Drosophila melanogaster: one gene and its partners. Changing the gene in region 2 together with the main gene of any one other region gives a genetic interaction. Each region holds a gene or a part of one and is shown on either strand. Other genes may lie near its edges.

What was found.
Region 1: of Ras85D (region 2) and Taf6, changing one suppresses a phenotype caused by changing the other (phenotypic suppression), as found in Drosophila melanogaster (3 studies listed by BioGRID).
Region 3: of Ras85D (region 2) and ksr, changing one suppresses a phenotype caused by changing the other (phenotypic suppression), as found in Drosophila melanogaster (3 studies listed by BioGRID).

The regions. Positions count from the first base shown.
Region 1 is NT_037436.4:19,597,530-19,601,930, forward strand, and holds Taf6 (TBP-associated factor 6), read left to right. Parts: upstream 1-1,558; 5' UTR 1,559-1,630; coding exon 1,631-2,515; intron 2,516-2,577; coding exon 2,578-2,747; intron 2,748-2,804; coding exon 2,805-3,260; intron 3,261-3,380; coding exon 3,381-3,690; 3' UTR 3,691-3,853; downstream 3,854-4,401. Other genes in the region: ash1 (absent, small, or homeotic discs 1), read right to left, coding at 1-564, 627-707; CG9368 (uncharacterized protein), read left to right, coding at 4,244-4,401. UniProt on the Drosophila melanogaster protein: TFIID is a multimeric protein complex that plays a central role in mediating promoter responses to various activators and repressors.
Region 2 is NT_033777.3:9,510,057-9,515,021, reverse strand, and holds Ras85D (Ras oncogene at 85D), read left to right. Parts: upstream 1-1,954; 5' UTR 1,955-2,234; intron 2,235-2,569; 5' UTR 2,570-2,730; coding exon 2,731-2,869; intron 2,870-3,025; coding exon 3,026-3,282; intron 3,283-3,340; coding exon 3,341-3,514; 3' UTR 3,515-4,461; downstream 4,462-4,965. Other genes in the region: mRpL47 (mitochondrial ribosomal protein L47), read left to right, coding at 3-153; Rlb1, read right to left, coding at 211-1,575, 1,633-1,659. UniProt on the Drosophila melanogaster protein: Ras proteins bind GDP/GTP and possess intrinsic GTPase activity. Plays a role in eye development by regulating cell growth, survival of postmitotic ommatidial cells and differentiation of photoreceptor cells.
Region 3 is NT_033777.3:5,477,859-5,485,633, reverse strand, and holds ksr (kinase suppressor of ras), read left to right. Parts: upstream 1-1,727; 5' UTR 1,728-1,996; coding exon 1,997-4,897; 3' UTR 4,898-5,644; coding exon of another isoform or gene 5,645-5,788; 3' UTR 5,789-5,851; coding exon of another isoform or gene 5,852-6,001; 3' UTR 6,002-6,061; coding exon of another isoform or gene 6,062-6,247; 3' UTR 6,248-6,312; coding exon of another isoform or gene 6,313-6,516; 3' UTR 6,517-6,591; coding exon of another isoform or gene 6,592-6,748; 3' UTR 6,749-7,244; downstream 7,245-7,775. Other genes in the region: Hcs (holocarboxylase synthetase), read right to left, coding at 727-904, 975-1,306, 5,645-5,788, 5,852-6,001, 6,062-6,247, 6,313-6,516, 6,592-6,748.

The DNA of each region.
Region 1 (4,401 bases), on a different chromosome or scaffold from region 2:
TAGGTTCTTGTCCTTGGCCGCTTTGCGGAAACTTCCTTCCACAGTTGTGTCCTCCGTATCGCTCTCCACTCGCTTGATAGCCGCCTGCACCAGGTTAGGTAACTCGTTGTCGCTGGACGAGATTCCGATATCGAGGGTGGGTTTGCTGGCCGACTGTGCCGCCTGGATGATAGCACTTAGCAGCACTCGCGGAGCTCTCTGCTGATGCACCTTCAAGGGCAGATCGTCCTCTGAGTCCGAGGAAAATGCCGAGATCTGTGACTTCTTAGACTTAGACACTTTGTCCGATTTACTAATCCCACTGGAACTTGCCAGCTTCTTGCGCTTGACCTTCACTTTCTTGCTGACCGCTCTATTTTTGGCCTCCGAGCAGCCGGACTCGGTGTCCTGGGTAGACATTTTTCTGGACTTTGGGGGTTTCTTGGTTGCTACGACTCCTAACGTGGGGCGGATGGCCGAGATTCTCATTCGCAGTCCATCGGTGTCCGAACGCTGCACGCTAAACTGGGTGGCTGACTTGATCGACTTCGACTGGCTCGATTGATCCGTAATGGAATCGGTTTCCTGAGGAGAACAACACACTTTACATATAGCATTGCATAAAGGGTGCCATTTTAAAGACTTGCCTCATTTTCACTGCCGGATTCTTGTGCGCGTTGCGTTTCCAGAACCTTTGCTGCTGCCGTCTCATTTTGGCTACAGCTCATATTTTGGAGTCGCTGGGGAGCTGCAAAGGTTCGCTTTTGTTAGCCAAGTGTTTTTAATTCGATTTGGTGGCACTCTTAATCGCCTTTAAAGTAGGTCAAACCGCGGTGACATCGTCCAAAAAAAAAACCATTACCTACAGCACACTTACGCTTGATTGTTTTCTGGGCTAGTAGTAGACCTCAGTAGTCGGTTTCGTTTGTGCCGAAATGACAATCTATTGCTGCACACATTGCATTTGCACTTTTCTTGAGCCTTAGGCCGTGGCTTGCCTGCTTCTAAAATGGCGCCGTTTTCACTTTCCCAAAAACTGCTTTGTTCGACGCCCGACGACGGCGCAACGTTGCAACGCTTCTCGCATGTGGCACATTAATCCGCGGTACCGATAATTCACTTTTTTCGCGACTAGTGGGCGGTGGCGGGGCGCATCAATTGTTATTGTTAATGTGGCGCAACAACAAAAAGCCAGGCAACCAAAAATTTACGAACATAAATAAAGAAAAAGACTGCGTTTCAGTGTGCCCAGCTGGGGTGTACGTGATGTCTACGCGACAGTGTGACCTTGCGGCGGAATTTAGCAGGCAACTATCGCGAACAATAGTGGATTCTATTCAAAAATAGCTGGAAAAAAACAAGCCGATTATTGTATAACAATGTGAAACCAGTAATATTAATATGACATTTTTTATGAATTAAAAATGAATTCTTATATTTTTTTTACTATTGTAACTAAATATTTGTTATGGGAATATATTCCTTACATGAACTCGCAAATAGCAAAATTTTAGGTGACCATAAAACTAATTATAGCAGACGATATGAAACAACAAAAAAGCCAGAATAGCTAGATTTTCTCTTTTGGGTGTGTGCACACTGGCCGAGCAGCTCGGCGATTATTATTTGTTTATTTGTAAAAACCTGGGAAATGAGTGGAAAACCGTCGAAACCGAGCAGCCCCTCCAGCAGCATGCTGTACGGCTCCAGCATCTCGGCGGAGTCCATGAAGGTGATCGCGGAGAGCATCGGAGTGGGCTCCCTGTCGGATGACGCCGCCAAGGAACTAGCGGAGGATGTGTCCATCAAGCTGAAGAGGATTGTACAGGATGCGGCCAAGTTCATGAACCACGCCAAGCGGCAGAAGCTCTCAGTGCGGGACATCGACATGTCCCTTAAGGTGCGAAATGTGGAGCCGCAGTACGGTTTCGTAGCCAAGGACTTCATTCCATTCCGCTTCGCATCTGGCGGAGGACGGGAGCTGCACTTCACCGAGGACAAGGAAATCGACCTAGGAGAAATCACATCCACCAACTCTGTAAAAATTCCCCTGGATCTCACCCTGCGCTCCCATTGGTTTGTTGTGGAGGGAGTGCAACCCACTGTGCCCGAAAACCCCCCTCCGCTCTCGAAGGATTCCCAGTTACTGGACTCGGTCAATCCAGTTATTAAGATGGATCAAGGCCTAAACAAAGATGCGGCAGGCAAACCCACCACCGGCAAGATACACAAGCTGAAAAACGTGGAGACCATTCATGTCAAGCAACTGGCCACGCACGAGTTGTCCGTGGAGCAGCAGTTGTACTACAAGGAGATCACCGAGGCGTGCGTGGGATCTGATGAGCCGCGGCGCGGGGAAGCGCTGCAGTCGCTGGGATCCGATCCTGGCCTGCACGAAATGCTTCCCCGCATGTGCACCTTCATTGCCGAGGGAGTTAAGGTCAATGTGGTTCAGAACAACTTGGCGTTGCTTATTTACCTCATGCGCATGGTTCGTGCGCTTCTGGATAATCCTTCGCTGTTTCTGGAGAAATACGTAAGAAATTTCTTATTGTATTGTTCTTTGTTTCTCATAAAAACGATGTTGTCTCCGCATAGCTCCACGAACTGATACCCTCGGTGATGACGTGCATTGTGTCCAAACAGCTGTGTATGCGCCCCGAGCTGGACAATCACTGGGCCCTGCGAGACTTTGCCTCCCGACTGATGGCTCAAATCTGCAAGAACTTCAATACCCTAACCAACAATCTGCAAACCCGTGTCACCCGGTAAATCACATCCACTTAAATTAAATAACCTTTTAACATCCATTTCCCAACCTTCAGCATCTTCAGCAAGGCCCTGCAGAACGACAAGACCCACCTGTCCTCGCTTTACGGCTCTATTGCGGGTCTCTCGGAGCTGGGGGGCGAAGTCATAAAGGTTTTCATCATACCCCGCCTTAAGTTCATATCGGAGCGCATTGAACCTCACCTGCTCGGCACCTCCATCAGCAACACTGACAAGACAGCAGCAGGTCACATCCGCGCCATGCTTCAGAAGTGCTGTCCCCCGATTCTCAGGCAAATGCGCTCAGCGCCAGATACAGCGGAGGACTACAAGAACGACTTTGGCTTCCTGGGGCCGTCGCTGTGCCAGGCAGTAGTCAAAGTTCGAAATGCGCCCGCCTCAAGCATTGTAACCCTGTCATCCAACACTATCAACACGGCACCCATCACGAGTGCAGCACAAACAGCAACAACCATCGGACGAGTGTCCATGCCCACCACACAGAGACAGGGGTAAATAACACTTTTAAGCATAAAATAAAATTCCAGCCAAGCATTTGATTCCTAATGGAAACCATGTTGACATGTCTTTTTATGCCCATTACTAAGCGGTTAAATATTCTTTTGTTTTAGAAGTCCCGGAGTCTCGTCCCTGCCGCAAATAAGAGCCATTCAGGCCAACCAGCCGGCGCAAAAGTTTGTGATAGTCACCCAGAACTCGCCGCAGCAGGGCCAGGCGAAGGTGGTGCGGCGTGGCAGCTCTCCGCACAGCGTGGTCCTCTCCGCGGCCTCCAACGCTGCCAGTGCCTCCAATTCGAACTCAAGCTCGAGCGGCAGTCTACTAGCGGCTGCACAGCGGAGCAGCGATAATGTGTGTGTTATTGCCGGTAGCGAAGCGCCAGCAGTTGATGGTATAACAGTTCAATCTTTCAGAGCATCCTAGACGCCAACTCGCTGATCATTGAGACGGAGATTGTGCGCGCACCGCCCGAGCTGGACGATCTCTCGCACCTGGAGTAGCCAGCTTAGTTCGTAGTCCACATTTTGTCATATTGTATGCAATAAAATAAAAAATGCGGGTTCCTACCCCAAAAAAATGTAACCACACAAATAGGAAGAATATTAAATCATTATTTTCACACGTTTTGTGTAAAATGGATTTAGTTCTTCTTAGCAAGCAAAAAAAAAAACATTATTTAAGGATTTCCCATAGAAATATTAAGCTACAGTTCTGTAAATAACGAACTGTTGAAATCAACTGACTGCTCTCCCACCCCACAAATCGAAAGCTTGCCCACGCAGTCAGCACGCATGTGCGGGTATGGGCCCCCAAGTGGCTTGCTATTGATTTCTCCAGCGCATTGCTGGGTGAACGCACAAAGAGCTCTGCTCAGCACTCCTTGTAGATACCCATCGCAGGACAAAGGCAAAGCTCGAAACGCTTCTGGCAGCATTTTCAAAGGATAAAAAGGAATTCTCACAAAAACCCAGGAAAGATGCATGCCAGATTTGCGGATCCCGAGCCAGCGTCTCCGGACAGCGTTGATGGAATCGAAACGGAGTCACTGGAGGCGCGGATTGAGGCCTTCAAGCAAAATCCCCAGAACATGGCCGCGTTGCGGGAGGCGCTCGACGATGTGCTCCTGCGGGCTGA
Region 2 (4,965 bases):
AGCCGCTCCCGCAACGAAGTCATGATGATCCTGCGTCGCAACCCCAATTTCGATCTGGATGTGCTGCGTCGCCAGTTCCCCGATGTCAACGTGGACAAGCTGCGCAACGAGGACAAGATTCGTGGTCACTATGTGCCCAAAGTTGGCGTGTGAGCAGCAAAGCTGCAGTTATTTAGTTATTAAAACAACAAAATACCATTGACATCATCTTTAATCTTCGTCAAACTTAATCTTTGTGCCCTGAAACGCGGCAATTTTCGGCTTAAACTTCTGTTTGGCCACCCAAGACGGGTGCATGCCATCGGTGGGCAAAGGAGCAGCAGTAGCGGTTAATTGATTGATACTTGGAGCAATAATTTCCGCCGCCTGGCCGTCGTCGCCGAATGTAATCTTCTTGCCTCTAAAATCACCAATGATTGGTTTCTGCTGTTGCTTAGCCAGCCAGGAGGGATGACGATCATCAGTTGGCTTTCTCGCTTTGAACTCTGGCTGTCTTTCCGGTTTCTCCCGATATGTGTTCGACCGTCGATCCTCATTGCGGAACCTTTTGACTGGCGGCGGTGCCTGTTCCTCATCAGCTTCGCTGTCATTGTCCCCGGAAAGAACCACGGCGCTGGACAAGTAGGGCTGGCCTGATTCCGTAATGAAGAAGGGATCAACGACATGTGTGGGACGATTATTGTCAAGTTGTGGTTCTTCTTCATCGATACTTGGCTGCCTTTCTAATCGTGGCTTAGGCTTCTGCTCTCTGGCTGGTTTTTTCTCGAAGGGTTTTGGCTTAGATTCTTTCGGTCTGCCTTCTAGTTGTGGCTCTGCATTATTCTCCTTGATTGTATTTAAATTCTGCTTTTTGGAACTGAGCTTAGTTATCTCCGGGTTGATCTGCTCATCAAAAGCTTGTTTTTTCTGAAGGTTTCTTTCTTTTTTGGCTGGTGTTTTAGGTGTCTTTTCCTTTTTGACTTTGAGAACTGGAGAATTTTCAGTTTTTGCAAAAGACTGTGGTATTTCCTGATCATTTACTTTGCTGACTTGAAGAGTGGGCGTTTCCGCAGTTGCTCCATTAACATCTGCATCCACCACTTTGTTCTGCTCTAACCACTCCAGTCGGTTTTTGGTTTGGGCCTTCTGCTCCTTCAGCTCCTTGCGCTTCCTCTTCCGCTCCTCAGTGCGTTCTATTTTGGCCCTTCGCTTGCTCGTCTCTAGGATCTCCTCACGCCACTTGGCCTCCTTATCGGTGGTGCTCAGCTTCAAGGTTTCCACAAACTTGTCCACCAGTCCGTGCATCAATTTGTTTAGCCGCAGCATGGCAATGCCCAGTTCATCCGGCGTGGAGCGCTCGTTAGCAATCACCGCATTGGGATTTGTGCCCTCCTGCAGGAGCGACTGGCGTACCATATCCATATATTTTAGAGCCTTCAACTGGGCCAGGCATTCTGTGTTCTTGCGTAAACGAATCTTTTCCTTTTCACTGTCTGGATTTTTGGCCAGAGCCTCTTTTGTCTTTCGCAGCTTTTGTACGATTTTGGCGATGGTCTGGGCGCGTGCCTTTTGAATGACCTTCTTGTTGGATATCACCTGTAAAAGTTCTTTTTAATTAAAACTCTATAATTTTAAATAAAATCGTTTATTTACCAAATTATTGAATTTCAATCTGTCCATGCTGTTTTCGTTACAGTGGTGGTTGAAATAATAGACTCAGGCTTGAGTCCGTGCTAAGAAACGGTGATGCCAGCCCGTTGAACTTAAATTAACAATTATTAAAAGCAGAAAGCGTCTGCCAGTTTTTACAGAAAGCTGTATTGATCAAATCATTTATTAGTTTAAGCAAATTATAGAGAGTCGACTGAAGTGCATCCACCTCTTTAGATTAGTTTTCATATAGCAATCGCTATTGCAAGTCCATCGATGGTGCCGGCCAGAATGCAGCCATCGCTATCGATAGTGCCATCGGCTTGGTGCCAGCTCTAGTATCTTCACAGCTACGTACAGCCTAGATTTCATCTTCATTTCACATACGGATTTATTGTTTTCCTGCGCTGTTAATTGCAATTACCGCACGGCAATTAAATTGGTGCCATCGAGGAGTACCGCCTGTCGCACCGTTAGCCGCGAAAGTGACGTGAAACGTGCCCAGCAACTGCGCCGCGCGCGAGAAGAGAGAGGCAGAGTATTGATAGAGAGGAGCGGAGCGGAAAAACAAGGAGGAGCTAGCTGAAGAGGCAGCAACAAAGAAGGTCCGCAGCCCCGGCAGGCAAAAGAAAAATAATAAAGAAAAGGGCTAAAAACAACGCCGCCGAATTAGCAAATTCACCTAGTTAACAACTCGGCTATGGGGGAGACTAACTAATTTGCATTGAGCGAATGGGTTTTAATTTTAGTTTGAGTCATTGATCTCTTTTTCCCATTTTTTTTTGTGTTGCCCGTCTGGCTGTGTGCATGCAGTGGTGCGTGTGTGTTTGTGCGAGTAAGCGCCTAGTCACAGTGACTCAGTGACGTGCATTAATTCCTGCCTAATTATGCGTTTAATTTATTTTAATCAATCTTAATTAATAATTTACTCCACTTGCAGCCCATACACGCACAGTCACCCACACAAACACACGCAACAAGCGTACGGAGAGAGAGACTGCATCTGCGGGCGCTTCACAAGAGAGTAAGCATCGATCGCGAGAAAGAGACTGTTACTGTGACATTTGACTACGGCAAATCGAAAACGGACGCCACAGCCAAATGACGGAATACAAACTGGTCGTCGTTGGAGCCGGAGGCGTGGGCAAGTCCGCGCTCACCATCCAGCTAATCCAGAACCATTTCGTGGACGAGTACGACCCCACAATCGAGGACTCTTACCGAAAGCAAGTGGTTATCGGTGAGTTATATGTACTTAGATCTGGCAAAGCTAGGGCTGCACAGGTCCAAATACTCTAGAGATTTCTGCACCCTTTCGCTGGTTTGGTTTCCCGTTTATACTAGAAGAGACCTTAAGAAGTTGCGATATTCAAATGCATTTTATATTCCCCTGCAGATGGAGAGACCTGCCTGCTGGACATCCTGGACACCGCCGGCCAAGAGGAGTACTCGGCCATGCGGGATCAGTATATGCGGACTGGCGAGGGATTCCTGCTGGTCTTTGCCGTCAACAGTGCGAAGTCCTTCGAGGATATCGGCACCTACCGTGAGCAGATCAAGCGCGTAAAGGATGCCGAAGAGGTGCCCATGGTGCTGGTGGGCAACAAATGTGATCTGGCCTCGTGGAACGTTAACAACGAGCAGGCAAGAGAGGTGAGTACCGGCCTTCAGAGTTCCGAGCGAACATTCCGTTAATTATGGTTGTTCTCAGGTGGCCAAACAGTACGGCATTCCATACATTGAGACATCCGCCAAGACGCGCATGGGCGTGGACGATGCATTTTACACACTGGTGCGCGAAATCCGCAAGGACAAGGACAACAAGGGGCGGAGGGGCCGCAAAATGAACAAGCCGAATCGTAGATTTAAATGTAAAATGCTCTAAACGGCCACGCATTGGTTATTATTCACTTTTTATTTCTTCAAATGTCGCCTGTTTGTCTGTATGTGCGTCGGCGAATCGCCGATCGTCCTGGGCTCGATGGTTTGTCCATTTTGGACACACAATGCGAAAAACACACACATGTGGGAGCGTGTTGGTCGGTGCAATTGTCAGATAAAAGAAGAGAAATTGTAATTAATTTAAGTAACTAGAGTTTTATGTACGTCGAAATGATTTTGTGAATGTGTGTGTTTTGTGTCGTTTGAAAGGCTGCGAGGCGCCCTTTTAAGAGTATTAACAATAACAAGCAAACAAAAACGAACGAAGCAAATCGAAAATGAAAATGAATATGTACCTCTACATAAAAACTATGAATACTGTTGTAACTGCCTTGGTTCAGCTGCTATATCCGTTTGTTTTCAACCAGCACTTAACTTGATTCTATGTTGTTTGTACTTCAACAGATACTCCGTGCTTAAAACCGAAACGCGATGTAAACAAATATTGTGTATTTTTACAGCCCTGTTATCTATTGGTTTCAACCCGACAGTCATACATAAATGTAATCTTTTTTCGCACACACGCACGAGCAGAATTCCATTAGTATTCATCATTAGAGAACAAACAAGCAAAAGCCGATAAGCTCACAGCAACTTTCGCACAAACGAGTAAATTCGCTAGCCCCAAACTAGATTTATGTTCGGTTAAACACATATCTGTGGTGCTACGATGATGAAATTATAATCCGTATGAGTTCTTGAGATTTGCCTTTCTTTCTACTTACCATACTGACAGATCAATCGGAGAGAAAACAAACAGCCAATTAAATTTACATTATATAGTTTGCTTTAAGCTTTTTATACATACATACATACATTTAATATTTAATTTTTTGTATTAATTTTTGCCATACAAAAAGAAACGAAATAAATCGATTGTGTGTACTATTTATGAAAAGTGGTTTTAGTTATTCCATAGTTTTGCTTTTGTGGATTCTATTTTTCCATCTAAAGTCTCCTGTCTTGTTGAGCCAAATATTCTATTATTTGAATTTTTGCGTTGCGCGCGTAAATTGCAGTATGCCTACATTTCGATAATTCGAAGAGCATTTTCGAATATCGGCGATGTCTAGTCGATAGAAATCTGAGACACGTCCAAATATCAAACCATCGATGAATGTGCTGTCATCGTATCACTGTCAACTCTAACATAGACTTTTGTACGGTTTTCTATTGATCTCGGAAACTGTAGTTTGTCACAAGCGTTTGTTCATTGTATAAAATTTACTACGCCGAAAGCAGCAAAATAGAAATATTACCAGTATTAAGAGCACAGCCAACATCAAAAGGTAAGCCATAACGCTAGCATAGAAAAGAACATTTGGCGAAAAAGTCGATTGACGCGGTCGCCATTTTGTTTTCGCGGACGCCGCTCCGGGTGTGTACTACTACGAA
Region 3 (7,775 bases), 4.0 Mb from region 2:
CCAATGCCGCAGACTCCGTTTTATTCCACAATTTTCTTTTCCAGCAAAGCAACAGTGTAACCAACTCACATACTTGGAATTATACCAAGTCTTCGCATCACCAGTGTTGACAATTTTATAGGAAACTACACTGTCAAGCTCTCTTTAGTTCAGTTCAAAAAAATTTTAAAAAATATAACTTTCTAATGAAAGTTCAGTTCAAAAAAAAATTTTAGAAGAATAATAAAATAAACAATTTTAGAATAAAAAAATTATGTAATAAAAAAATCCATCTTAAATTTAAGATAAGACCTGTGCGGCAGTTAATCTCAGTGGTCTAAGGTCAGCAATGATCGAATATGTATTTATTAAATTCAAATTTCAAAAACACCCGTATGCAGAGGAATCGATGGCGATAACAATGGTAACAAACGCGATTATCTTACGAAGTAATTTCCAAACACTGGTTTATAGGGAACAAACAAATGTACCTGTCATTATAAATATTTTGAGACTTCCTTTAACATATAATTCTCTTTGGCAGTATTTAATTTAGTGGATTAAATTATCCATTATTATTTCGTAAAGCCACTTAAGAAGAATCACCTTGTAAATATTTATAAGGATAAACGTTTTTACGTAGTTATAAATTGACCTAAATTTGCCTAAAAAGTACAAGTTGCTTAAGGGCCAATTAAACTAGAGGGTTCGGGGAATAATATGAGTTTTCACATCTGCTTCATTTCACTATTGATACTTGGGTATAATCAATCCCTTCAACATATCAAAGCTGTTTCCATCGGGCTGCACAATTTCTATAGTACCAGTTGGTAATTTCACCTCCAAAAATCCAAAGTCATCGATTCCCACAATTTCGGCCTCTTTTTCCTGATCTTTTTGTAGGCAAATCTTAACAGATTGCCCGCTGTACATAAAAACATGTTAGTAAATGTAATATGCAAATTAAATGTATTTTAAAAATGTTTTAAATTTACCTGTGTAACCATAGCGAATAGTATAATGCATAAAAACTATCAAAGTCTCCGTTTTGTACTTCTCCCAAAAGTCTTTCGATTTCATTGAATATCATGGCAATAAGTAGCTCGTACTTAAGTATAGGTAACTTGTTGTTCGGGACACGGGTATTATATTCTCTTATCAAGTCATTGATGCAAACTGTTGGTCTTGAATTGTTCAAATTAATTCCACTTCCGATATTGACGATGGCTTGGGATCCCTGAAGTGTGGTATTAATGACGAGGCCCCCAATTTTCTGATTTCCATTTGCATAAATGTCATTCGGCCACTTAATGGAAATATCCAGCACCTGAAGGTGATATGAATAAATTAAGTAAAACTCGCCTATCTCCGTAATATTACATATCATAAAATATAAATTGGAACATCAAATATTAACTTAAAAAAATTATTTTTAGTTATAAAATTAAAATATTAAAATAATATCTACCTAATTTCCATTTCCAAATAATAAAATATAAATATTAAAATATTTGACTTATTTCGACTAATAAAATAAAAATGTGAAAATAATTTCTGGATTAATTTTTCAAATAGAATTGAAATATATATGCTATATACACTCGAAGACATAATATAATTACAACATAAGAATAATAATACTTAACGTTCTATTTTTTTTAAATACAGAGGAGTGCCCCTAAGTTTTTCGGATAAGTGCTTTTAGTACATTTTGGTGTGCAGTGAGAAGGAGTCCTCCCGGGTATGGTCACACTTCTCTCGATGCGCTACTTGGGTGTAGAGAAATTTCAACAACAGCCGAGGAACTTGTACAAATTATTGCTTTTTCGCATTGCCTAAGCCGTTTAGAGTTGCGGGCGTTAGCGTGCGCGATAGCCGGAGCACCGAACGTCAAGGTCGCTTGGCGAGGGCCACAATGCGGGGCGGAGTCCCAGCCATTGGTCCCATCGAATCGTCGAGTCCCCGAGGGGGCGTCTGAAAAAATCAATCGGGCTCCACTCCGTCGCGAATAAGCAGGATGAGCAGCAACAACAACGCACCCGCATCGGCTCCAGACACGGGCTCCACCAATGCCAACGATCCCATCTCCGGTTCGCTGTCCGTAGACAGCAACCTGGTTATCATTCAGGACATGATTGATCTCTCGGCCAACCATCTGGAGGGCCTGCGAACGCAGTGCGCGATCAGCTCCACGCTGACGCAGCAGGAGATTCGTTGCCTGGAGTCGAAGCTGGTGCGATACTTCTCCGAGCTGCTGCTGGCGAAGATGCGGCTAAATGAGCGCATCCCGGCCAACGGGCTTGTGCCCCACACAACGGGCAACGAACTGAGGCAATGGCTGCGCGTAGTGGGCCTTAGCCAGGGGACTCTTACCGCCTGCCTTGCTCGCCTGACCACTCTAGAGCAAAGCCTGCGTCTCAGCGACGAGGAGATCCGTCAACTCCTGGCTGACAGCCCCAGCCAGCGAGAGGAGGAGGAACTGCGACGCCTGACCAGGGCCATGCAGAACTTAAGGAAGTGCATGGAGTCGCTGGAGAGCGGTACTGCGGCTAGCAACAACGATCCAGAGCAGTGGCACTGGGACTCCTGGGACAGGCCCACCCACATTCATCGCGGCAGTGTGGGAAACATTGGACTGGGTAACAATTCAACCGCCTCCCCGAGAACCCATCATCGCCAGCATGGTGTCAAGGGAAAGAATTCCGCTCTGGCCAACTCCACCAACTTCAAAAGTGGCCGCCAATCGCCCTCAGCGACAGAAGAGCTGAACAGCACACAGGGTTCCCAGCTGACTTTAACCCTTACGCCCTCGCCACCCAATTCGCCCTTCACGCCTTCCAGTGGGCTGAGCAGCAGCCTTAATGGAACACCACAGAGGAGTCGTGGTACCCCGCCGCCAGCTAGAAAGCACCAGACCTTGCTGAGCCAGAGTCATGTGCAAGTGGACGGGGAGCAATTAGCCCGCAACCGTTTGCCCACTGATCCCAGCCCCGATAGCCACAGCTCCACCAGCTCGGACATCTTTGTGGACCCAAATACTAATGCCAGCTCCGGAGGAAGTTCCTCGAACGTGCTTATGGTGCCATGCTCTCCGGGCGTGGGTCACGTGGGCATGGGTCATGCAATCAAGCATCGTTTCACCAAGGCCCTGGGCTTCATGGCCACCTGTACCCTGTGCCAGAAGCAGGTCTTTCACCGCTGGATGAAGTGCACCGACTGCAAGTACATCTGCCACAAGTCATGCGCACCGCACGTACCGCCCTCCTGTGGACTTCCACGAGAATATGTGGACGAGTTTCGGCACATAAAGGAGCAGGGAGGATACGCCAGTCTGCCGCATGTGCATGGCGCGGCGAAAGGATCCCCTTTGGTAAAAAAGAGCACCCTGGGTAAGCCCTTGCATCAGCAGCACGGCGATAGCAGTTCGCCGAGTTCCAGCTGCACTAGTTCCACGCCCAGCAGTCCGGCGCTGTTCCAGCAAAGGGAGCGCGAGCTGGATCAGGCGGGCAGCAGCTCTAGCGCCAATCTGTTACCTACGCCTTCGCTTGGCAAGCACCAGCCGAGTCAATTCAACTTTCCCAACGTGACGGTGACGAGCAGTGGCGGAAGCGGTGGTGTATCGCTCATCTCCAATGAACCAGTGCCAGAGCAATTCCCCACGGCGCCTGCAACAGCCAACGGAGGACTTGATAGTCTGGTGAGCAGCTCCAACGGGCACATGAGCTCGCTCATCGGTAGCCAAACTTCAAACGCTTCTACTGCGGCCACCTTGACGGGCAGTCTGGTCAATAGCACAACCACCACCAGCACCTGCAGTTTCTTTCCGCGAAAATTGAGCACAGCCGGTGTGGATAAGAGGACGCCGTTCACCAGCGAGTACACGGATACCCACAAGTCAAATGACAGCGACAAGACAGTCTCCTTGTCTGGAAGTGCCAGCACGGACTCGGACCGGACACCCGTTCGTGTGGATTCAACGGAAGACGGAGACTCGGGACAATGGCGCCAGAACTCGATCTCACTCAAGGAATGGGACATCCCGTATGGTGATCTGCTTCTGCTCGAGCGGATAGGGCAGGGACGCTTCGGCACCGTGCATCGAGCCCTTTGGCACGGAGATGTGGCGGTTAAGCTGCTCAACGAGGACTATCTGCAAGACGAACACATGCTGGAGACGTTTCGCAGCGAGGTAGCCAACTTCAAGAACACTCGACACGAGAACCTGGTGCTGTTCATGGGAGCCTGCATGAACCCACCATATTTGGCCATTGTGACTTCATTGTGCAAGGGCAACACCTTGTATACGTATATTCACCAGCGTCGGGAGAAGTTTGCCATGAACCGGACTCTCCTCATTGCCCAGCAGATCGCCCAGGGCATGGGCTACCTGCACGCAAGGGAGATCATCCACAAAGATCTGCGCACCAAGAACATCTTCATCGAGAACGGCAAGGTGATTATCACGGACTTTGGGCTGTTCAGCTCCACCAAGCTGCTCTACTGTGATATGGGCCTAGGAGTGCCCCACAACTGGTTGTGCTACCTGGCGCCGGAGCTAATCCGAGCATTGCAGCCGGAGAAGCCGCGTGGAGAGTGTCTGGAGTTCACCCCATACTCCGATGTCTACTCTTTCGGAACCGTTTGGTACGAGCTAATCTGCGGCGAGTTCACATTCAAGGATCAGCCGGCGGAATCGATCATCTGGCAGGTTGGCCGTGGGATGAAGCAGTCGCTGGCCAACCTGCAGTCTGGACGGGATGTCAAGGACTTGCTGATGCTGTGCTGGACCTACGAGAAGGAGCACCGGCCGCAGTTCGCACGCCTGCTCTCCCTGCTGGAGCATCTTCCCAAGAAGCGTCTGGCGCGCAGTCCCTCCCACCCCGTCAACCTTTCCCGTTCCGCCGAGTCCGTGTTCTGAGGGAACTGCAGCATGGCCACTGTCACTGTCTAGTACAATTTCGATCTACCAACTAAGCTAGCTCGCTTTGTGCCCTCGTCCACTCTACACAAACTCTCTCCCAAGGCGAAGTTCTATCGAGCCGAGCGAAGATTGTAAATACATAAACGTAACTACCAAATTATAGCAATCCATTTTAAAAACTACATACATATGTGTAGGCATGTATCGGGAGCACTCCAGTTGCAGTTGTTAGCAAACGAAACAAAGGCAAATCAAATGTTAACTCGAAAAAGACAAAACGCTTAAATGTTTAAGAGCAGAGGCAAACAGAGAAGGCATAGACATACATATACAAACAAACAAACAAGCACTGTGGCAAACATAAATGTAAACGTTAATCAGGTGAGCAATTTCTAAATTGTTAATTATGTGTAAGAGAACTATATATATATATATATATATATATATATATATATATATATATATACATGTATATACAGCAGCAATGTATTGTATATGACGGACTAGTGTTAAATTAAATATATATTGTGAATTATGTATGGTCAAGTGTATATAGTAAATGGACTTTAAATGCGAAATCGAAACAAAATGTCAAATAAACTTATTAAACCTAAAAAATCACTTTGTGCACTTGGCAGTTTTACAGATCCTGAGGTTCGTCCCATCGTCCCACAGGCGGAGATAATCGAAACAATCTTAACTTAAGATTCAACTAAATGGTAAAACTTTACAGTCTTGACTCACCCCGTACTCTTCATGACTGCGGAGCGAATTAACAATCGCCGTTCCAACAAGGTGCTGCAACAGAGGCAGCCGAGAGCTCAAAGCGCTGTCCATGGTCAGGTGCAGCTGCAGCGAGAACATGGCACAGCCCGGCGGACTAAGCCACTGGAAAGCACAAAGCGATGATTTCAACAAGAACTTAAATCTGGATGCTTCTAGAGTACTAACTTGATTATTTCTGCGACCCACTCCGGACGTCTGCTGCACGGGGAGCACAGCCAGGCCGTGGATGAGCTCCAGGTTGTTTATGAGATGCATGGAGCTGCTGACCACCGGTGCATAGATGACCAGTCGTCCGATGTGTTCCGTCTTAAGATTCTTTAAAATAAGAGGAATTTGGGTTAATTCTGCTATAGACTAGAATTAGAATGCGCTCACATCGAAGTAATCCACGGTGGAGAAGTCATCCGGACAGGAATGTATGAGTATGGGCAGGACATTGTTGTTGGCCACTGGAGGCTTATCGTCCTTGCCACAGAACTTCATCGTCAGGTTCGGCGTTGCTATCACGTTGTCGGATCCGCTGCAGCGCAGACGTAGCTTCTCCAGAAGCTCAAACTTGGCCTGAATAACAAAAAGAGCTAGAATATTGGATTCTGATGCCAAAACAAATGGAGAGACGAACTGACCTCGTGCCGACCTAGGAAATATGCGTGCTTGTAGACAACTCCAGGCTGCGGCTGGTCGACACCGTCTCCACCGCGGACCTGCACATCCAAGTACTTTCCCAGGAGATCCGCAAATATCTCGAGGCGAGTTCGCTCGTTTTGCTTTAGAATGGAGTACTTAGTCTCATCGGATTCAAATTCGCTGGGATTCATTTCCAAGTGCACCTGTTTTTTTTTTTGTTTCATAGGAATGTTTTTTTTTAATATATGTTTGTTATATTTACATGAGCAATCACTTACTTGGGAGAAGACGGCCTTTCCGCCGCTCTGCAGGCTTTTGGCCAACATCAAGCTGGGCGTATTCCAGGTTTCCTCGGTTCCCAGCACATGGACATCCAAATTGTGGCTGTGACCGGCCAGATCCTTCAGTTCCATGGACCTTGGACATACTAGAGCTCTGAGCAGCGTTTCGTGGTTTGATTTGTGTTTTTTTTTCGATTTTTGTTTGTTTTTGGTTTGTTGTTATTTTAGTTATTGGTAGGATGGATTATAATAGTGATAGCACACACATATAGAAGCACACGCAGAAATTTAAGGATTTAGAAGGTAAACGTAGCAGGATGGTGAAAAGGTTTGAAATGCCAAATGTTTATAACACAATTAAACAATTAAATTACATGGATGGCACATTCAATCGATAAAAAACAAGAGTTAAGAGAGCTTACAGAAAACATAGATAGGTTAGTTAGTTAGGCGGATTGAAAACGGAGTTTAGATAGATGGATTACAGTGCACACCGAATCAAATAGAAATTAAGCCATATTTAGAGTAAACGAGACCAATTTGAGCATGAAACATTTGAGAAATAAAATGAGAATTGGAATTGGTTAGAATCGGTTTAGTATAAGAACGATTAATTAGGATTAATTCATTTCATTTCAAGCCCCATTCAGAAAAAGTAATAATATACATAAATGAAACAAGACAGGAGGTTGGTTTCGGCAGGCCGAAGTTCATATACCCTTGCAGAAATTACATATGTATATGTCAAGAAAAAATATAATACAAATTAAAACGGGAATTATATATTCCATTTTTATTTCATTTATTTTTCGATTATTCCTATGGAAGCTATAAGAAATAGAGGACCGATTATTCCCTTTTCTTACTTACATATTTCAGGAGGAAGTCTTTTCATGCAAACAGCTTTAAAACTGAGAGGCTAGAATCCTTAAAACTGGATGAACAGACGGACTTGGCTGGTAAAACTGATCAAGAATGAAGAAAGTGCCTTTTAACCCTTTAAGCCCTGAAAACTTCTGACTGGAAGATATATACCTTCTGCAAGGGTCTAAAAAGTAAAGCGTTATAACTTGGCCTCTTTTTTACAATTTACCCGACGGCTGTGCAATAATCGACTTGAATAGGGCTTTCGGGTGTATAAAACATGCAACATTTCGGTTTCAAATACACTGATACTCAGT